2 linked regions of the Drosophila melanogaster genome follow. The protein of the gene in region 1 interacts with the protein of each later gene in a pairwise test. Each region holds a gene or a part of one and is shown in the gene's direction. Other genes may lie near its edges. The genes, in order: NT1 and yellow-g.

Region 1 (12,680 bases):
ATTTCACGATTTCGAGCGCAGCAATATCAGGCTAAAGAGCCTCCTGGGCGAGGGAAACTTTGGTCAGGTGTGGAAGGCAGAGGCCGACGATTTGAGTGGTCATTTCGGAGCCACTAGAATCGTGGCCGTTAAGACTATCAGAGCCTGCAGTGCACAGGTGAGCCTCAAGGACGAGGCGAATATCATGCGCAAGCTGGGATCCCATCAGAATGTGGTTACCCTACTGGGTGCCTGTGTGGAAAGTGGTGAGCACTAATGGAAATTTCTTGTTGGGGATTATTCATAATACATTTTTAAAAATTCCTCTAGAACCCCACATGCTTATTATGGAGTACGCCATGAGGGGTCGTCTTCTGTCCCTTCTGAGAGCAGCTAGAAGTGCCACAAACATATTGCCAGCCTCCGTTCCAGGTGGTCGCAGTCTGGCGCCCTTATCGCCACGAACCTTGGCAGGATTTGCACTGGACATAGCCTGTGGAATGGAGTACATAGCAGGGAGGAGGGTAAGCAAAAAATCTTGATATAATCTATTAAACCCATATTTATTAACATTTAACCAAAATAGATTGTTCATCGAGATCTGGCCGCTCGCAATGTGCTCCTCGATCACAACGGCATGTGCAAGATCTGTGACTTTGGCATGTCCATCGATCTGGACGCCGAGCGAATGCGCAAGGAGCAGGAGAAGAATGCGGCGAATGATCTGATGCGCCACAATGCGCACAAGTTTAAGTTCGACTTCGGCAGTAGATACATCCTGCAGCACTGGCAGCACACTTTTGGTCAGGGTCAGGGCCAAGGTCACTGCTCCAAGGATCAGCCGCACGGGGAGAAAAAGTCGCATCATGGTCACGACACCATTGGCAAGCGACACGCCCTGCCCATCAGATGGATGGCGCCGGAGAGCCTGCAGTACCACATGTTCACCACCGAAACGGACATCTGGGCCTTTGGCATCGTCCTCTGGGAGATCGCCACTCTGGGTAGGTTTTTCAGCCCGTGAATGAAATGAGAAAAAGAAAAATGACCACTACTCTATTTCCGCCGGGTTTTTATAACCCAAGATATGAGAGTTGAGTGTTTCATTAATTCTGCAGCAAAAAATCTTCCCCTTTGAAGATGTTTTATCTCGATCTAAATGGTTTTATTTAGACAGAAATAACGTTTACATTGATCTATTCAAATTTAGAGCAATAAAAAACATCCGCTTGATCAACCTGACATTTAATCAGCCATCAATTCAAATTGAAATGGCAAAAGTATATTATGATAGCATTATTCTTTAAAAGAACCAGATTTTGTCTATGAAGTATATCGATTTACGATATATTAATGAGCATATTCTATTAGAAGTTGTTCCTAACTATTTTAAAAGCACATTTATATTTTAATGATTATTACACAATGATAATTTTAATTGTGCTTTGTTTTATGCGTGCAATTAAAAAAGAGACTTAAGCTCAGGCACGTATCAATAAACTTACTGACTGGGAATTATCAGTTGCTTTGAGGCTAAATTAACACATTTAAAAATAACTTTAATGTGAATATCGTTACGAAACTGTTTTCAGATTATTAAAGCATTATATTACCTTTTTGTATGTCTCATTTCAGGATCAACACCGTACTCGCAGTTAACGGGACGCGAGGTTATCCGCCGGGTGCCGCAGGGTCTGAGGCCCGATCTGCCCAAGGAGAGCCGGCACGAGTTCTACAACCTGATGTCCCGCTGCTGGCACAAGGAGCCGCACATGCGACCCTCGTTCGCCCAGTCCAGACTAGAGATCACAAGGTCACTGCACAAGTGGGTGGACGACGACTCAGCGGCCTCGGATTACATGGACGTGAGCGGGTTTAGCGAGGATCTCGAGCACGGAGTGGTGTACTTCAATCACCGGATCTCGGAGTTCGAGTGCGAAATATGACGCTGACTGAGCCAACCCCTACCCGGTCGAGGAGCCACCAACTAACTGTGCATCTCAACCAATCCATCCACAACTCATCCACCGCCCACACATCTCTATTTGCCCACTTGTAGATCTTTCGAAATTCTCCTTCCTTGCGACGTCCTTGTCGAGCAGTATTATTTGTATTTTATTGTTAATTTTCCATTTCGAATGCCCCGGAAGTTTCTTTCATTGTAAATATTTATTTGTTGAGACAACAAAATACGTTCTAGGCCTTACGATTAATGAATGGCGCTACCTATGCTTAGTTTAAAGTTCGTCACTTAGTTCTTCTAGTCTGTATCTAAAATCCCATCTTCGAGTTGAGCTATTTCCCCTGGATGTAGCCAAGATTTGACTGCACAAAAGGAAACTTTGAAACCCCGTCGTCAGTAATAAGAAAATAAATCGTTGATTTAGGCGTGCAGCGCATAGGATCTATGTAATTGTATTGAAATCTAGCTATAGAATTGTACAAATAAATTAATTAAAGACGAAATATAATTATGAATATTACACCATTTGAATGCTTTTTTTATTTTATATAAATTTAAATGGAAATTTATTGTAGTGGCAATACTGATTATGATGTATTATGTTAAGCTAACATGGTGAAAACAGACGGTAAGCATTTCTGTTAATGCCTGTCTGTTATCATGTTAACTTTTATTTAAGCTTTCAGCTTTTTCGTTAGGTCTGGCTTCTCTTTACTAGTTCCAAAAAACTGGTTCAAAATAACTGAGCGCGCAATTCAAAAGAAAAATATATATATTAAAACAGTACAAGCACTTAATTTGGTTTTTATCAATATTTTGATAATTTTATAATGTATTAAAAAATATATATAGATCTATTGGAAGATATTTGAACCAAATTAAGTTTTGGAGATATTATTTGCATTATGAAATAAAGTCTTAATCTGAAACTTATTTAAAGTTTTAATAGTCGTTTTTCCACAATCATTGAATTAATGATTATTCGTATATTTGTCGAACCATATTTTTATGTAAATCCCCTGCGGGTACTTTACAAATTTAAAAGTTGTTGAAGACAGATGACTAAATTAAAAACCGGAATTGTTTTGGCCGAAGAGTTTTCATCGGACAAGAATAAGAGGCGTAGGAATGCATAATTATAACTTATACGGCGTGTTTTTCGAATATTAAACTGAAATGCGAACTTAAAAGGCAAACCTGATTATTTTCAATGTCAATGTTTTTATGCACTCGACAAATATTCCAAGAGCAAGTGGACTATACAAGATGCAGGCTAAACAATCGCCAGATGAAATGACAAGACTGCGGTGCTAGGTAATATTTCACTACCGGACCGGAACACAAACATACAATAAACATAACAACAAACATAAAATAAAGAAATAAATATAAAAATAAAAATTTAATGTGCAAATTAGCCAAGTGCATCGCTATGTTTTATGGTCAGCAAGTTGGCCAGCCGGGATGAACGCCGGTAGCGGAAAATCTAGCGAATTGCAACGATATGCGAGTAAAAACCATGGATAACCGAGTGCAACCAAGTTGAGTGAGTGAGGACACTTTCGGCTATGGTTGCTTGATTGATGACGCTGCAATTAAACACACGGCCAGCGATGCGGTAATGTCGACAAATGGACATTAAGATAAAATGCGTAAAGGCTGAAAAACATTGCGTGCTCGTGAAAATGAAATGAAAATTCAGCTGGTACCGTTTTGCCGCTGTGGTTACCAATGAAAGTGTGAAGAAAATGCTCTTTAAGTGGTCATTGAAAGTGCCATAGAAGCCGGAGGGAGGATGCACTTGCCACTGCCCTGGAGCAGTTAAGCCGATAGTTTATGGACTCAACCAATGATGAAGAAATAACAATAAAGCGCAAAAAAGCAAAACGTCAAAATCACGAAAAGTCGTTATTAGACGCAAGTCAAAGTCATTGCACAGTGGGGTGCAAAACGATATAAGGTAATTAGCTAAAAATAGGAGCAATTTAATCAGAGTTTACGAACATAAAAAAAATTATTTCAATCCTAAATTTTCATTTTAGATTTTAATAATGCTAATCTTAATAAAATTAGGCATGTATTTGGCTATGATATATAATATATATTGAATAGTTTACAAGGATATCAACTTGTGTTGCTATGCATTAAAAGATAAAATAAAAATTTGCACGACTAAATTTTGTCCCACTGTTCGGTGGCTGAAAAGCAGGCGGAGGCGCTAACCACCTGCCCAAAGTTGCTACCGAGGGCTGTTGTTTTGAAAAACGAAAGTGCCGTGGCTGGAAATTAATTTTCTTTCCTTAACTTTAGGGGCTGACCCTCGCGGGCGGCCGTAACGCCTGATGAAGTGGTCAAAGTGGTTTTCGTGGCTAATGATGCCGATAGAAAGCAGTTTAGATACGCCGTTTAGCATGCTTCCGTTTTGGACAAATCGCTTCCTGACCCAGTGCCAAAACAAATGACTGAAGACACGAACTGGGCAGACGAGGCTGCTACATACAGTTTTAAATATAGGCAAACTTCCGCTCTAAACGTTAATTAATTTCACATGCATGGATATGCAAATGTAAACCAACTAACGGTTCAATGAACTTGCGAACTGCACAAGAAATGCAATTTGCCGATGCGCACTTTTTAATGCACAAGCACGCACCTAAGTTGGATTTACTGCAATGGGTCCAGAACGCCAACTGAGCCAAAGTCGCCGCAGCAGCAGCAGCAACAACAACCGCAGCAGCAGCAAAAGCGGTAGGTAAAGAAGCAGTAAGCAGCAGTTGAGGCAGCAAATCAGTTTGCGGCGAGTGTTGAAAGCGTTCAGACGTAGCAGGCGGAAAAAATAAAAAGCTGTCTCAAAAGCAAAACGAAGGTGAATGCCAAGCGGACAGACTCAAGAAGTGTGGCAAAGTAGAAATTTCTGTTAATTAAGGCGCGTGTGAAAAGTGTGAAAATCAGCGAAGGCGGTAGCCAATGAGCCTATAAAAGTGAAAATTATCTATGCAAAGTGGAGTGGAATGGAAACTCGGTTCTTGCGCCGCAACAGGAAATAAACAGTGATCAAGCTAAATACATATATCGAAGCTCGGAAGACTGGAGAAGGGAGTGGCTTGGAGAACAAAAAAAAAAAGAAGAACAGTGGACTGAAGACAAGCTGATCTGAGGTGATTTCTGAAGCTCTGCTTTAGCTTTATAAATTAATCATAAAAAACTAGAGCGCAAAGCGGAGAACAAGAAACAAAATCGAAATTGGAATTTTAAAATAGCATTTCATTTGTGAGTGTATTTTAGCCAAATATGTGAAATGGAAACAACTTTCTAAATGAACGAAAACAAAAAAGCGCTTACACCCAACAACAATAACAACAACGACGCACAAAAATTTGAATTCGTTTTATTCTTTACGCCCGAGGAAATTGTGTCAGTCCGCGCTGTTTAAGCGTGTGCGTGTGTGTTCGTTTATTGATATGAGTTGCCGCTTTTCGGCGGTCGTCAAGTTTGTGTCTTAAGTCTTTCGTTTAGGGCCCAGTAAGTTGGTTGGGAATTTATATGTCAGTTCGGATGGCCAAACCTATGCGATGAAGATATTGATCCCCGATCTGTCCAATACAGCTCGACAGCTGTTGGTGGTTAGTGGTTCAGCGGGTTCGCTTACTAGGTTAGTCGGTTAGCACCTAGTTGCTTCTGAGGCTGCTTAGTCTGCTTAGTAGGATTCTGCGGAGATTGTCAGTGCGACTTTCTTGCTTTGCGCTTCGCTTTCAGATGCTTCTCCTCTCATTTGCAGCGCTTTAATTTGTTTTCTTCAATTCGTCTCGTTTGTTTTTCTTTTGCCTTTTTTTTTATTTTTTGACTGGCCCCGTTTCGTTGTCTGCGCAACGCACGCAAATTACAAGTTAATTAAAGTGGCCAAAGAATTTGCCGAGAGATCGCATGCAAGCGGAGTGCAGCATCTTCAAATGCAACCCATTGCCATTCCCATTTTCGTCTGTAATTTGTATTTGCTTTCTTGCAAATGGCACCCACGCGAAATTACTGGGATGCCTGGGAACCGAAATAATGGTTGGCATATATGGGAAACGGCTGCGACTTATTGGCTTAATTTGATTTATCGTACTATGCCGCTTTCCCAGCGTCAAAAAAGTATCTATACGTAAATGCAAAGGCCACACAAAAACCAGAAGCGCCGCCATCTCTCTTCCCCTTTCGTAGGATCCATTAGCGGGGTCTTCTGCGCGCAGGTGTGCGAGATAAATTAAAGACATCGAGCCTGCCTGCATCTTGACAACGGCAGCATCCTCACGTTCGTGCATCGCAAACTGTGCGCATCATTTCATTCAATTATTTGCCTTGCCTTGGGTGCCCGAAGAGACGTGAATCGTTGGACAATCTTCTCTAGCCCACGTCCGCCATAAGTTTTCATGCTGGCCTTGGCTGCCTTTTCTAAACTGTCAACTGTTTGCCGCTGCTGCAGCCAAATTTTCACTTTTCATCTGCACAAAAGGTCATAACATCGATGCAGCTGGTATAGCCATTGCCTCGGAGGAGTTTTCCTGGCTTGGGTGTTGTTAGCATTCAGATTTGTCGGCTCCTTGGGGTAGTCGACTATATAAATAACGAACAAAATGAAAGAAAGACTTTCCTTTGTGCTGAACACATTTGCATAGACAAGAAGAGAAAACCAAGTTCATAGGGAAGAGGGAAGAGCTCTTTTAGCCTGACAAATGTCTTCATCATGATGATAGGAAGCTAAAGCGCAGTCAAATCAATCACCCGACCTTTGGATGGGATGCCATATTACCGCAAAACGGCCAGTTTAGTCAGGAGTCATAACCCCGTGCGCGAAAATACACATTAAAATGGTAAAAATAGCAACAACCAGAGCAGCTTCGGTGCTTCACGCCTTGTTGGGCAGTCAACTGAGATGACAGTGAAGATCATGATGACGACGCCGATGGCTGAGTGCGATTACCTAAAGCCGGAGACGACTGTGCTGCTGTAATAGCCTGGCCAAGATGACTGTTATGACTCTTGCTGCACGGTCGTAATAGTTTACGCTCATGTTAATGACTCTTGCTTTCGATGGAAAGCCAAAAATATGAATGGTTTTGAATTTGCCAAGACAAATTGAACCCGTCTAAGAATAAGCCATAAACTGTTTTTTTTTTTGAAAGCGTGCGAGTGTCGTCTGAGGTGCACTATAGTCATAAATAAACAATTAATAAGACGACATTCATCTGATATTTCGGAAAATTAAATCCAACTTAATAACCAGCAGTGACCGCCCCCTCGCTTTAACTTTCCTTTGCCTTTTGTCATTCGCAGACGACTGCAATTAAAAACAAAGCCAAGAAAATAAAGCCAGAGTGAAAATGAAAGCTGGCCGCGCCTTCGGCTGCCTTTTCTGGGCTCTGCTCTATTGTGTGCTCTATCTGGATCTGGTCAGTGGGAACTCCGCCGACGATGAGCTGATGGACTTTGATTTTGCGGATTCAAATGATGCTGCTATGGAGGACTGGCAGCTGGATGATCTGGAGGAGGCAAAAAAGGCGGAGCAGGCCGAAAAGAAGTTGGAGTCGAATATGCTGGACTTTAGCGTAGATCTGGATGAACCGGAGCCGGAGAAACAATTACCACCTTTCGATTGGCGAGAAAGGGTTTTAAGAAACGCTCTGGCCAAAGCCTTGGCGGATGAGGGATTGCGCCAGAAGTTCGCCGAAGTTTTGCCCATTTTAAGAATGCTATCTTCTCAACAGCGCCTGGCTCTTTCCGCTTTGATCTCGGCTCAGATGAATGCAAAAAAGGGGCACGAACTAAAGTTTGAACAGGTGTGTTTGAGAACGTTTTTAAAAAAATATTATTTTACATTACATTGCATTAAAAAAAAAAACTGGCTAATGATTTTTCTAATTTAATCAGGTTCGCATGATGTTTGGCAATGAAAAAAAGCTGCTTTTGCCCATAGTGTTCGACATCGCAAATCTCATAAAGAGCTCTACCCGCAAGTACATCAATCTGGGTTCTGATCTGGCTTCATCTGCCCTTTACCATACTCCCATCAATCGTCGTGAAGATGATTTGACTCCAGAAGAGTCCCAACAGGATGACCAATTGGGCACCATTGCTGTGGAAGTTGAGCCAAAAAAGGTCTCTACTGAGGAGGTGCAATTGGAGTCTCTAGAGGACTTCTTTGATGAGATGGGGTCAGAAGTGCTTGATCCTCAGATGATCAATGAGGCCCTGACAGGTGATCTTCATGATAACAAAACCAAGACTTTTAAACCAGAAAATCATGGTCAAAGAGTTCGACGATCGGCAAACGAGTTTGTTCACAAATTGACCCGATCCGTGCCTGCTTCTGTGACCGAGCAGCAACTTTTGGGTGGCATTGCTGGACGTACCATCAAGCTGAATACCACAGCTTTTCAACAGCCAAGTAGCCAGGAGGAGGAGAAGATGGCCTCCTCCAATGGTGGCCAGTCATACTCTGAGGTGGAGGATCTGGCTTTTGCTGGTCTTAATGGCACGGAAATCCCCCTGAGCGCTGATGAGCGATTAGATCTGCAAAGAAACAGCGCCGAGGAGACTGAGGAACCACTACCAAGTCCAGAGGAACTCATCGCTGGACCACGTTACCGACTGGGGAAAAGACCACTGCCTGGTCAAAAATCTGGATCTCCCATCAAACGAAAGAGAGTCACATCCTCCTTAAGGGGAAGACCGAAGACCGCCGCCAGTTCCCATAAACCCGTGGTTACACCACCCAACAAGAAATGCGAACGATTCACCAGCAACATGTGCATCCGAACCGACGACTATCCGCTGTAAGATTCCCGTAGCTAGTTGGTGAGCGGTACTCCCAGGGTCCTGGTTCCGGTCCATAGTCCTTAGCTCTAGTTTAGTCCGAATTTTAGCCATAATAAAACTTTAATTTATGAATCACACTTGCCCAACTTTCCCTTGCACTTATGCTTAGTTATTGGTTTTGGTTAGAGTTGTTGAATGAAGTCTACCGTTGGAAACTGCATATATTATTTTGAAATCTTAGTGAACAGATCATGGGCAGCATTAGGCGTCACAAAAACGCCATGTCCGCTCTATTGGCCGAGTTCTACGACAAGCCCAATAACAATCTGGAGTTTAGTGATGACTTCGATGACTTCAGCCTGAGCAAAAAGAGGTAAGTGAAAAAGATCATCAAAGATAGCAAATAACTGACAATAAATGTCATAACATAAGTTTTGACTATAAAAGTTTTAGGAAACGTGATCATTTCGAAATTGTATATTGAAATTGTCGTTGAATCATATGAGCATAAGCCACATAAAGTCATTTTCTTCACAAAGTTATGATAATAAAATAATATATTAGGTCACACAAATTTTATTACACTTTTATCAGTTATATTGGCATTATATTTCGTAAACCAATGAAAAAAAACAATGTGTAGGAATATACTTTTATATTAGTTTTGAAAAGACCAATTAAAAAGCCAAATGCTCGACGGTGAATTTTGGTAAAATATTTCATTTTTTTTTTCACATTAAAGGCGTGAAGACGAAGGCAGCGCAGGTGGGATGTGCCAGAGCGTGGTACGTTATGCCCGACCCCAGAAGGCCAAGTCAGCTTCAGGAGAATGGAAGTACATAGTGAACACTGGTCAGCACACGCAAACCTTAAGATTGGAAAAATGCAGGTGGGTGAAAATAATTTTTCACTTGAATAACATGGTATTAACTTGCAATCTTTGCATTTATAAACAGTAATCCCGTCGAGAGTTGTTCCTACTTGGCGCAGACTTACCGTTCCCACTGCTCGCAGGTGTACAACTATCATCGTCTATTAAGTTGGGACAAAGTGCGTGGTCTCCATGTGGATATTTTTAAGGTGCCCACCTGTTGCTCCTGCCAAGTGGATGGTTATCGCCAGCAGTTTCCACCGCTCTCCTCCATACAAGCCAAAGATTACTCTCCCCAGTCTCCTGTCATAAATCATAGTCATAATGGGTATAGTACCATAAACGAGGAGGATCTGGACTATGCCGAAGAGAGCGAGGAGGACGAACTGGGTCTTCGATATCCCTCTTTCAACAATCGGGAGACAAATGAACTGTATTCCAGCAGTAACAAGGTGCGCGTAAAGCTGCCTGGTATTAGCAGCAGTGTGGGTCCATATCTCAGTCCCCCTGATGATGACGAAGATCGCTATGGCGGATACAAGAGCTCCAGTTCCAGTTCCAAGAAGTATTACAGCCAGGTGAGCCGCCGGCGGCCGCAGCATTCAGAGGCGCGTCTGGACTTGGATTTGGCGCCAAGCGAGACGCATTCGGACCAAGAGGTAAACCTATTCGCTGGCCCACCAAACGGCGGTGCAGAGAAGCCGCGTATCCCGCTGAATCGCAAGCGTATTTATGCCTCCACCCACACAGCCCCCACCACCGCAACATCATCAGCATCATCATCTTCAGTACCATCGCCCGCAGGAGGAGCTGCCGTCCGCCTACGATTTCCACAGACCACAAGTCTACCAGCCCGAACGGGAACAGCTGCCCTTAGTCCGGGATCCGGCTTTGTCTCCGGTTTCAGCGCCAGTGCTGGCCTCTCCAGCGCCTCCTCTGCCCATGCCGCCCATGCCCATCAAGCAGGTGCCATCGCACCACCAGGCGCACCACCAACAGCCTCACCACCATCTTCACCAGTCAACCGGCAAGGTGGCAGCAAATCGCGACCCCGCTTCTATGCACCACCAGCCACCACGACGACCAACACAGCAGTGGTTACCGGGTCAGCGTCGTCCCTTTCGACCGAGCGCACCACTCAGTGGGAGCGGGATCAGTCGACGTCACTACCACAACCGCCGGCAGTCTATCCAGTGAGCTCGATCTTCCCCAGCGGTGGTGGCAGCGAGATGTCGGGCAAGAGGATTAACTATAACTACCACCCCATTATCGATTTCTTCGAGAAGAATCGCAAGGCGGAGGCGGCGGCTACAGTCAGTTCCATCGCAGAAGAGTCCCGCATAGTGGAGCAGCGTATATTCCCGCAGAATTCCCCCAAATCTCAACAGAATGGCATGGGCTTGGGCATGGAGACAATCACTGGAGTTTACCAACATCCCATTCCGGTGCCCAAAACGCACGAGAGGCGTATGGGTTACCGGGCACATAACGGTGGCGTGGGTGGTGCAGGTGCTGTGGGTGGTGGTGCTGGTTTCGCTAGCGATAACGCCTGGCTGCCCATGGTTGTGGAGTAGCTTAAGTCGCATGAGTCCATCAAAATCAAAGTCCTCAAATCCCCGAAATCTAACGTATTAACGCCGATGCCTTAGCTCGTAGTCTCTGCCGTTCTCGCCAGGAGCCTAATCTTGTAGTTTGTCTACCTGGCTCCTAATCTCAACCCCATTTATCCCAAAACCCACTCTAATGTTTAACCAACTATGTTTATTTATTTATTTATTTTGTAGTGTGTAGTGCAAAGATTAAGAGATGACCTCGTTTTTGGGGGAGGTTCAATTGGTCAAAAGCTTGGTTGGTTTGTCACGAGAGTTCTAGCAATAAATATAATTTATTGAAATCTTAACACGTGTTTGTTTCTTTAAGAAATGTGTCGAGTTTACTTTTACACTCACTGTACTTCTGTTAACACTGAAGCTAACAGAACAAATATTATAGCATCTTTTAGGCGCTTTTTAAAATTCTGACTTCTGTTAACAAAACAGGCATGCGCAACGGCATTGCCATTAAAAGAGCTGTTTTGTTTTATTGATAATATAATCTTGTAATAAATTCAAGTACAAGGCAATTAAATAAAGTCCTACAATTCAATGTTAATTATGGTGCTTTTTAATTTAAAACGTGACTAATATAGACATTTGTAGTATTTAATAGTTTGCAGCTTAATCAAATGTAGATGTTTGGAAGAAGATTTAAATACAATTATTTGCAATGAAAAGTTTACTTAAAAATTCAATTAATTACGTACCTTGAAGAGTCAAAGAATTTATTAAAATTACAAACAGAAACAAAAATTTTTTTTCCACTCACAAAAAATCTCATGAATATATTTATTCCTATTAGATATTCCCATAGAATATCAAAGTCCGCATAAATCATTCCCATCTAAAGACCGCATTATTCCCCATATTTTTAAAACACCCAAATTAAATGGACAGTGCATAAATTAATTCACCGTTCGCTCTGCCTTTCGCCCAAATGACACAAATACCAAATCAGTGGCTTTCGGCGAAGTTCAAGTTGAGGGTCAAGTGGCGGGCACTAATGAGATTCGAGACTGCGAAAATAAAAACACTTACCCACACGATCGAAAACTGAATTCAAGACAGAAACTAGTTTCTGCACAGCAACCAGAAAGTTGCAATGTGCCAAGCCACCGTTGTGGCGTATGCAAAGTGGGTTTCTAAAGCGAAACACGGCTTGAGCCCCGACTTTGACCAGTTATAACATTGGACGTTGAACGTTGCAACTTGCATCTGGCAGCTACTTGCAACGTCACTTCGGCTGGCCAGATTCGCTTTCATTTGCGGCCGAAGCTAACAAACGGCCGATGACGACGACGATGACGACTTCAAAAACATCTATCTCGTCACGAAAGAAAGAAAGAAAGAAAGGCTCGTGGCGCGGTGATCAAACTGGAAAATTGGAAAAACGGCGAGGAAATGTTATAAAGCCACAATGATAGCACACTTACTGCACAGTTGTCGGTTGGCCGTCGAACGCGAAAGTGAAAAG
Region 2 (10,119 bases), 2.2 Mb from region 1:
CCGTGCCGATGATGACCATGCGACTGGGCTTCTTGCCGAGATCTGAATATTATGATAACTTAATAAATGTTTTCTTTGAAATTCGAAATATATAACTCACCCAAGATGCGTCCATCGGCCACTCCACTCCTCAGATACTCTGACTTCAGGGAGAACAGTTTGTTGGTGCTCAGGTAGGTGAAGTACAGTTCCGTTGAGCCGCAGTCCCGGCGGATGAGGGCTATGTAGAGGACATCCCTCGACCGACAGCCGGCGGTAACGGCCTTGGGCAGCACCACCCTGAATCCCCGATCCGCCTGGAGATTGTACACGATGATGGCCCGATTGGCGGCATCGCTGACGTAGACAAAGCAGCCGCCATCCGGAGCATAGTCCACTACCAGATATTGGAGACGGGAATTGCTGGAAGTCAGGCCCTCCAGCGAGACGGTCTTCAGAACCTTGCCAGTCTTCACCGACATGGCCACCACTTTTGGTGGGCACTTGCGCACCGGAGTCTCCAGAGTGTTCACTATGCCCGTGTCCAAGACCCAGAGCACCTCGTTTTGGTCTACCACCAGATCCACCACCGATTGCAGAGCCTTGCAGTTGCCCTCCTCCTGGAGGTCCCAGCAGGGATAGGGCTTAAAGGTGGTGGAGCAGGTGCCCGGCTTGATACTGGTCTTCACCAGCGTGGCCGGAACTCCCTTCCTGTAGCGCGGCAGAGCCAGATAGATGGTGTCTCCAATGAGCTGCGCCCGCGTGGCAATCACATTCTTGGGTATAAACTTTCCGGAGCTCTTGAAGAGCGACTTGGTACTGGCGCATGGGAACTCGAATTGCCCGCCCGTCCACTGGATGGGCTGAGAATCGGAGTGCGCCCGATCCGGAGTCCACAGTCCGTACTTGGTGCCCTGCGAGCGGGCCCAGCCAACTAGGCAAAATCCAAGGATCAGGGCCAAGTGCAGTCTCATCGTGGAAGCAATTGTTAATGGTGCGGCAGCGACGTGCGCGTTCTGCTCCCCAAATTGGCCAAGTGGCGTGCTTATATAACCCAACAGCCCATAGAATTTGACCACAAGACGGCAACGTGCCTCGCACCCAATTCTTAGCTTTTAAACTGATTTTTTGCGAACTTTATGACCTTGGCAAGAGTTAACCAGTAAACGATGGTAAAAACTAATGACATTTATGACTGAAATTAAATCATTAACTTGTGCTATTAATATGAACTTGTATACATTAATTGAATAGTTTCAATTCCATTACATAACTAAAAGCCAGCCATTCCCAGGACAGAAGCCAGGGAAGTTTTCGAATGGAGCCAAAGGACCAAGGCGAAGGACACATTCCTCCCGCAATTATCCAATCGACCATAAAAATGGCATTGCAATTATTGCAGTCAATTGAAAACGGAACCCCAACAAGTGTCTCCAGATTGGTGGCGATATTTTTAGCTAATTAATTGCGGGCAACAAAATGACCTCAATCTGAGATTTTGCCAGCCATAAGTTGGCCCATAAAGAGTGATTGAAGGAGTGAAAGAAAAATCTCAGCATCCCCGGGATTTCCCTGCAGAATTCCTGGGCCATTTCGCCATTTCCATCACCATAATTGCCCCTAAATAGGTTAAGGCCCTCGATACGGGCAGACAACCCGGAATCGCCCCAAACCAAAACCAACGTGTTTGGCATGTTAAATTGTCAGCCGAAACCCGCATTCCGGTTGGCTTTTTCCCCACCCACCAGAATGATTTATACGAGACAAGCGCACATATATACATATACATACATAGATGGAGCGCAAAAAATTGATGACAAGCATTTCCGGGCTGCTCATCTGACATAATTTATGTAAACACTTACCTCCCAGCAACAAAAAAGTTTTGGGGGGTAGATAAGAGACTGCCGGACGACTGCCGACTGACCCCCATTAGCTGGGGAAACTCCACTCACTGCTCGGCAAAACCATGGCCAGACATTCCGCAGGACGTTCTCCACACATTACATTGACAGTTCTTGTTTATGGCCCGTTAACGGGGCGTATGCGTCATCTGCAAAGTCGGGGGATTATGTGCGACTTCTTTAAAACGCGCTGCGCAACAAAGCAAAGTTCAACTTTTTATATGTGTGCCAATAAAAATCCAATTGAAAACGCAAATAAGCCAATAATTTGTCGTTCTTTTTTTTTGTCCCGCAGCAGCGGAAAAATGTACAAAAAAAAAATTGTCTGTGGTCACGTTTGATTTGTTTTGGTAAATGGGCCAAATGAGGTTTATGCTTTTTTAACTTTGTGCTGAGGAAAGCGATTTTCTTTACCGGGAATTTCACATAAATTCAGACCAACCTTTTCTGGAAATGCTGAACTCCAGGGTGGATTAATAACGTCATTTAAAATAGTATTTTTATGATAGTTATAGTTAACTAGCTATAGGTAATATATAGGTAATTTGATTTAAATTGGTTATCACAGAAAGTTTTCAGGGGCTTACAGTTGTAGTACAGGGTATTAAAAAGTCATCAGCTGCGCTTAAAGTTAATCTTCCCATAATTTTTTGGCCGCTCGCCTAATTTATGTGCTTTGCTTTCACTTTGCTGGCTTTCTTTCGTCGGCCAAGTTTTGTTTACGTCTGCTTAAAGTTGTCCACATTGGCTCTCAACCTTTTGCAATCGCCATAAATTATTGCCTTTATCCAGTGGCCCATCTTGGTTTAATTGTTTTGCAATAATTGAATTCATTGAATTCATCCGACAAATTGCTCTTGGCAACCCGCTGCTACTGTGTGTGCATATGAAACATTCACTTTTTGCACCCAATGTGCTATCAATGAGTTTACATTTGCCATTTAAACGCATCTGTCGATATCAAGGAGAAAATATTTCCAAATGAGTGCGGACAGTTCCCACAAATACACAAATACACTATCCATGGAATATGTTGCCAAATTTGTTGAGTTTCAATACACAATTTTATTGTGAATGGTCGATTTTGATATCTTAATCATTTAAAGTCTAGAGATGAATAAATGATTGCTGATTTCAAGCTTTGCCATAATCGTATCTGTAAGCTGTTTTTGCAGAGTAAAAGAGTCTTAGCATCGTCAAATTTCCATTTGCATACTTTGCTTTTATTTATGTTGGAGCACATAAATATTTATCCACAGATTCGGCCCGACTGACAATCCCGCCCACATATCACAGCACTTATCACATCCGCCTGCTTTTGGGCATGTGTGTGCCATAAATCGGGGGATTACGATCGTGGGAAGGGGGGTTTGGACCCATGGCAGTTTATTGAATCGGAATTCACAAAAATTCAATCTGCATGTAATTTGGCATTATAGACAGACCCTTCCCATTCCGCCATGCGGAAGGAGCAGCCAGTCTGACCCCCGATGAATGGGTTATCAAAATGTTGACCCGCCGATGGTCATTTGATGATGGGCAGCTGTAAGGAGATTAAACATTTTGTGATTTAATGTAAGCCCAGTGCTGTCCATAATTCGCTGCACGAGCTGTCCCAAACAAAAGACTCTTCAGCTGGACACCGACTCCTCCACCGCTTGCCCGAATGTGTCAAAGATTTTTTATTCGCCGCTTGGCGATATGTGGGTTTCTACGAGTTAACGGGGTCATCGACCACGTCGGGCGGATACACCTCTAATCCCCCCGCAATCAACGTGCAAAAAAGTCCACCAAAGTCCACAAAGAGACTTGAGCAGCCAACAAAAAAAAATATGGCAAAAAATGTAGTTCCAGGGGGCACCCGGATTTGAACCGGGGACCTCTCGATCTGCAGTCGAATGCTCTACCCCTGAGCTATACCCCCGACTTGAAAATGGCGAACTCAGAGCGCCTTTTAAAGTTCCCTGATGCGATAAAATTTCGCCTTTGCATTTATCTTAAAATAGAAATGAAATCAATTTGGAACAGAGTGACTGTTCCGCGAAACTGTGGGTGTGATTCACACGACGAATCTCCGGCAACTTGCAATCTTATCTGCGAGTAATGTGCCCCACCAACTCCCCGAACTTTCTCCTTTCGCCCGCCCCCTCCCCCAAAAGCAAACTGATAGCTAGCTGCAGACGGACGGACTGACAGATGTTTTTGTCATCCGAAAATAGCTGGTAACTCGAGCCAAGAAACTGAAACTTTCTCGGTCGCAGATATGCAGGTCACAGACGTCAGCATTGATATTGAACTTTTGGGCCACTTTGGCAAGTGTTTCGCAGCGACCTCTGAACTTTGCCTGCCAAGGGGTGAAACTTGCTACTCTGTCGGATGCACAAGAGCGATCGATGAGTGACAGAAGCTATTTCGCAACTTGAACCCATTTTATTGAACGGACTTGAGTGACTAATTAGCTGCCTATAAATGGCTATAATAGCACAAAGTTATACTCAGAAAATAAGAGCAATAAAAGGAGTAGAAGTGATTAATTAGACAGGCATAGATTGCCATAATAGAACAAACTGTTATCAAGACAATTAAAGTAAAAACCAGGGGAGTTAAATTTGATTTGGATGGCTTAGGAAGAATCGTGTAATCTAGATAGAGGGAAGGGGTTAAGTTTGCATTTCATTTCCGCATCGCTTTCCGCATTGCTTAGAAACCGAGCGGGCTTAGAGGTCTGGCCGACTTCCGGCGTGGGCCAGACGTGCTGGCTGGGTGGTAGCCACTCCAGACAGACACTTGTTCCCCCCCGTGTCAAGCAACCAACGACCTTGCCGCAACACGCTCCACATGCTGGCTGCATAAGTCGTTGGGTATTATATATAAATGCAGGTCTACCATCGCTCAGACAGTTTTATGTTCTGGCCAACGTGGTGAATCGAGTGCAGAAGCTCTGTTTGTGGAAAGCGCAGAAAGAAACGCCGAAAAATGTCGCAGCTGCAACTGCTGCTCCTCGTCGCTTCGGCCTCCGTGGTCCTCGCGGGATACAGCTCCTCCACCGACGAGTCGACGGACGCCTCCAACTCCATTGGCGGCACCAAGTGCGACAAGAACCCGCTGAACGAACTGACCTTCCAGCTCAGCGGCAGCAGCCTCCACTGGCCCTGCGAGTCCACCAAGAACATCTACGTCCAGTCCGGCCGCTATGTGCCCCGTAACGTGATCGTGACCCGGGCCCAACTGCAGCGGGACTCCGCCTTCGTGGCGCTGCCCAGGTACAAGCAGGGCGTGCCCTTCACTCTCGGCAAGGTCAATCTAAAGAAGGGCGAGTGCCTGACCAAGATCGCACCCTATCCCTGCTGGGCCATTCAGGAGGAGGGCAACTGCCAGGCGCTGCAGTCCGTCGTGGACATAGCCGTCGATCAGAATGTGAGTGCAATTAACGCCAGTATTGTTTGGACCATTTTTTTTTTGGGGGTCAGACAAGTTGTCTCGTCCAAACTGCCAGTTCTGCCTTTAATTACGGACTGCTCGTTGTTGGCCACCATGGAGGCATAGCACTTTAACCCACACCAAATGTTTAATTCATATTTGTATCGTGGGTGGATTACAGGGTAGCATTGAAATGCTCTTAGGGCTATTCACTTTTTTTTTCTAAAAATGATTTAGTTTATCTTCTGATATTGATATTGATGTGCAGTCGCAGTGTTAAATATTTGCTAGCCCTTACAAAGTCGATCAAAATCGGGAGTTTAGCTCCAGGGTATCGTTTTCGCATTAACCCCTTGCCGGACGCACTTTTTTAATTGGTTAGCCTCGCTGTCGACCAAATATTACTTTTTTAATCAAATAAACGGGGCCACAAAAGTGAAGAGCTCCAAATAAAATTCATGCCCGTCAATTGGCGGCAGCAATTTAAGGGTAGAATAAACGGATACGGAAACGCCGAAAAAGCTGTGGGGTAAATGGAATATTATAAAGGACAAGGACTGCAGCTGAAAAGTGACAAGCAAATGCAGTGAAAAGTTCTCGAAAATAATTTTGGAAATGCTGGGAACAGGCCATCCAGCCGTGTTTTGTGCATTTCGATTGCACTTCAGAAGTTCTCAGCTTTAATTTTAAATGACAGATGCATTCGCAGATATTACAATGATGCTATTAAATATTTACATGACCTACTTACGATTGCGAGCATAAGCTGCAACTTAATAATTTCCTTCAATTATTGTTGGCGTCGAATCGTTCTCATTTAAATGCCATTCCCGTTTAGCTGCATTTATGCAAATCATTTCTTTATTTTATTTACACAAAAGTCGACGAAACAATAACAAACGGCAAACAAACGAGGCGACTGTATTTATTTATTTGCGCAATTTTCCATTCAGTGCTTTTCGCTGATACTCATTTTATGGCCACATATTTGCGAATGTGGAATTTTTAACGCCGCCAACATTTCAATTAGCCGCCAAATGAAAACATTAACAACAATCAACACGAGCTGCAATTGATAGCAATTAATAATTGCCTTCTCCGTTCGCAGGGACTTCTGTGGGCCTTGGACGTGGGCATTGTCAACACCCTGGAGCAGCCCATCCGCAGATGCAGTCCCAAGATCGTGGCCATAAACACGGCCAACCACAAGGTGGTCAAGAGCATCGACCTCAGCGACCTGGTCACCTCCGAGAGTCGGCTGCAGTTCATCGTGGTCGACTACTCCAAGGACAACAAGCCATTCGTGTGAGTTCCATTGCCTATACTCTTTTATTACCCTTAACTTCATCTGTGAAATGAGTTGTACTTAATCACTTTTTGAAATACATCAACTATGAAATTAATACCACACATTACATTATTATTAACCATTATTACTAACCATTATTTATCAGCACAATGATATTCAGAGATTCATATTGCAGTCATAAAATATTCGTTGAAATCATCGAACTGAATCAAGAGTTTGGAGTACTTTTACCACACACTTTCAATCATGCTTTCAATCAGCGATCATTGAGCCAATCAAAAGGGCATTAGCCACTTTGAGGCTCATATCTTATCTGCTCAAGGTAGTTCTCAGAAGTGTGGCTCATCATATACCAAATAAAATCGATTTGTATTGCATACATGATATCTAATCTCATTCCACATTATATTTCCTTCACTTTCAACCATAGCTATGTGGCCGATGCTGGAGCACGTAGTATCCTGGTATACGACATCACCGGCAACAAGTCCTACCGCATCGTCCTGCCGAAGGCCACCGCCCCCACCAGCGATGTGCTGTACGTGGCGCTCACCTCGAAGCCGGACGGCACCTCCACCCTGTTCTTCAGCTACCTGAGCTCCCCCCGTCTGTACTCCATCAAGGGCGAGTACCTGCGCGTTGGCCAGGGAGCGGGCTCCATCATCGACGTGGGCCCCAAGCCCTATGGCAAACAGGCGGTGCTGCTGGGCGCCGACGGCGGCACCTCGCTCTTCTTCCGCTACAAGGGCGAGAACGACATTTACCTGTGGGACTCGGAGACCTGCTTCAAGGCCGCCAATCTGCAGGAGGTGCAGCGGGGAGGCGACTGCCGGCTGTCCACCCAAGTGCTCCCGGGTCACAAGCGATTCATGTGGGCGCTGGAGAGCAACTTCCACGATTTCATCTCGGATCGCACGGGCTGCAACGGAGCCTCGATCGTCCTGCATCCTGTGGTGCGGGAATGTGACGATTGAGTCCGTATCCCTCCACTTTCTTAGGCTTAAGATTCAAACTGATTTGTTGTCGTTACTGGGTCTCATTAAAATTTTGGTGAATATTTATAGTTATTTGTAGTTTATCTTAAAATGTTCAGAATGATTTCAATTTTTTAAATAGGCATTTACTTGAATCAATATTGGTACCATGAAAACAATTCATTACTCTGACTCTGATTGGCACTTTCGAGTCTCAGCATTGAAATACTGTCCCATTGGACAGCTGTAGATCTGCAGCTGGTGATCGATGCATATGCAGTACTCATCCTTGGTGGAGACATTGGGACAGCTGAGGATCTCAAAGTCCGAGCACTGATAGATCCTATCAGTCACGCAGGTCAGGATCTTAGGATCAATTTGGAAGCCGGCGGGACAGGTCATCACCTCCAGTTCTCCATCGACGCACTTGCAGTACTCGATCTCAGAGGTTCGGAAGGGGCATTGGTACCTATCGTTGTTCATGCACGTGTGGGACTCCATCGCCTGAATGCTCCTCATGCTCCTGGTGTCGGGCACACAGCTGTAGCTGTTGAAAACGAATCCCTCGTGGCACTTCATCATCAGCGGATACAGCGAATTGGCCGTGTCATTGACGCAGACGTAGAAGTACCGATTGTCGGGCGCCCATCCACCCACTTGTCCCGACCGACTGCAGGTGAACTGCTCCTGGATGCACTGCTCACTCTCCCGTGGCAGAACACAAGTGCCCGTGAGTGTGGAGTAGCCCGCTCCGTTGGAGCAGATGCGAGGGGTGTCCACACTCTGATCGCTGCACTCGTGGTACCGCCTACAGTCGTACGGATCCGGGAACAGGCCCGCCTGCTGACAGCTGAAGGGACCTCTCTTGGGCACCTGGCACTGCGACTGGAAGGTGCATCCGAAGGTACCCTCGTCGCTGCAATAGAAATTGTACTCCGATTGGCAGCCCAGCATCGAAATCGTTTCCCAGCTGCCGGTGGCATCGCGGATGCAGTAGCCCAAGGTGGTGCAGTTCATGCAAACGAAGCCGGGAATGCGCACATCCTGGCAGGGATTATCATTAGCCCACGCCGATCCCAACGCCAGAGCGAGCAGGATTAGACAAACCGGTACTGAAGACCTCATCTTGAAGACTGTTGGCTGGGTCATCTGCGGGACTAGCTTTTATAGCACCACCTAATCAGCCAGGCAAGTGTCTTTTTCTTAATTAAACAGATAAGCTTCTCTAGGTATTATCGATTTGATAAAGAACCAAAATTTTACGACGTAATAATAAATTTAGAAAACTTACTAAGCGTAGCTAAAATTGTAATTATTCGAAGAGTATCATCGAAACTGCGAACTGATAAATCCGGAATTCATTGAAAATAGTTTAATCAGTTTTAATCAGTTTTATTCCAAGATAGGCTAGCTACAATAACTATAATATGTTGGGTCAACAAGTTCCAGTAACGCACGCAAAGGAAATTAGATTGAAGATGGTTCCTACCGAGCATCTGAAATACTCAATATCACTGCCCTTTTCGCGACAATGATAGTACCCAGAGCAGTCAGCGGGATCACCAAACAATCCAAGCCGCTGGCACTTTCCAGACGAACTGGGCAACTCGTCGTCATCAGATCCTGTGTTCAGGCAAATCTGCAGCTCGTCATCAAAGGTAAAGCCCGTTGGACAGTAGTTAAGATGCCATTTGCCATCGATGCAGAGGCAGAAGACATCGCTTGCCGTGCTGTTAGGACATGGGGATGGAGTATAATCGTCCTGGCACTCAACGCTTCCCACCCGGCAGACCAATCGGTTGGCATCGAAGTAGGTTCCTTCAGGGCATTTCCAGATCTGAAGGTGCTTATCTTTGCACACGCAAAACTCGTCCATTTCTGTGGCCATCGGACATTTGCCGATTTGGTGATTGGTACAGCTGGTAGTGTCTGTAGATACGCAGGCTTGGATAGTTTCGTTAAAGTAGTAATCATCTGGACAGGATTCAGCAGCTGCATCCAATCTGAGCTCCAGATAACTGCCGTTCCCCAACCCTTTTCCCGTTTGAAACAACAGAAAAGTTAGGAGGCAGATAATCAGGCGAGATGAATCCATGTTGCAAACTTTCTAAGTAGACCTCTTCACACTCCGCCTTATATAGTACCTCACAACCAAACGCAGAATGTTTCGGTATAATTAATAGATAAACTGCAATGTTGTCACGAAAAAAACATTCTATGGAACATTTATGACCTAGTCACAGCACTCTTAGCAAGAAAGAACCAAGACAGTACTAGTCCATTTCTATTGCACTTTTATTGGAAAAAAACAAAGAACTCATTCTGGTTTAATTACCCACGGACATGGTGGTTGAATCTTTATTATCAAACTGATACCTTTTGAAATGGGAATTCATAAATTCATGTCAAATAGATTGTTATTCCAGGGTAAACATGAGTTGTTTATTAAATGTAATCCATTGAAGAGGAATAAATAAAGTGCAGGAATGCATCTTCCTCAGCAGCTTCCCAGGACGCAGGAGGATAGCTCCGG

What was found.
Region 2: the proteins of NT1 (region 1) and yellow-g interact in a two-hybrid assay, tested with the Drosophila melanogaster proteins (one large-scale study listed by BioGRID).

The regions. Positions count from the first base shown.
Region 1 is NT_037436.4:4,500,481-4,513,160, reverse strand, and holds NT1 (neurotrophin 1), read left to right. Parts: upstream 1-4,727; 5' UTR 4,728-5,100; exon of another isoform or gene 5,101-5,212; intron 5,213-7,258; 5' UTR 7,259-7,305; coding exon 7,306-7,761; intron 7,762-7,852; coding exon 7,853-8,757; coding exon of another isoform or gene 8,758-8,761; exon of another isoform or gene 8,762-8,876; intron 8,877-8,981; coding exon 8,982-9,113; intron 9,114-9,482; coding exon 9,483-9,629; intron 9,630-9,696; coding exon 9,697-11,185; 3' UTR 11,186-11,509; downstream 11,510-12,680. Other genes in the region: Tie (Tie-like receptor tyrosine kinase), read left to right, coding at 1-245, 310-503, 566-983, 1,615-1,925. UniProt on the Drosophila melanogaster protein: Neurotrophin which may function as a ligand for the Toll-related receptors Toll-7 and Tollo. Binds to Toll-7 and probably acts as its ligand in promoting motor axon targeting and neuronal survival in the central nervous system (CNS).
Region 2 is NT_037436.4:2,267,432-2,277,550, reverse strand, and holds yellow-g (yellow-g), read left to right. Parts: upstream 1-4,781; 5' UTR 4,782-4,859; coding exon 4,860-5,300; intron 5,301-6,411; coding exon 6,412-6,608; intron 6,609-7,042; coding exon 7,043-7,586; 3' UTR 7,587-7,670; downstream 7,671-10,119. Other genes in the region: yellow-g2, read right to left, coding at 1-42, 101-953; CG32302 (uncharacterized protein), read right to left, coding at 7,770-8,711; obst-I (obstructor-I), read right to left, coding at 9,022-9,681; CG13806 (uncharacterized protein), read right to left, coding at 10,084-10,119.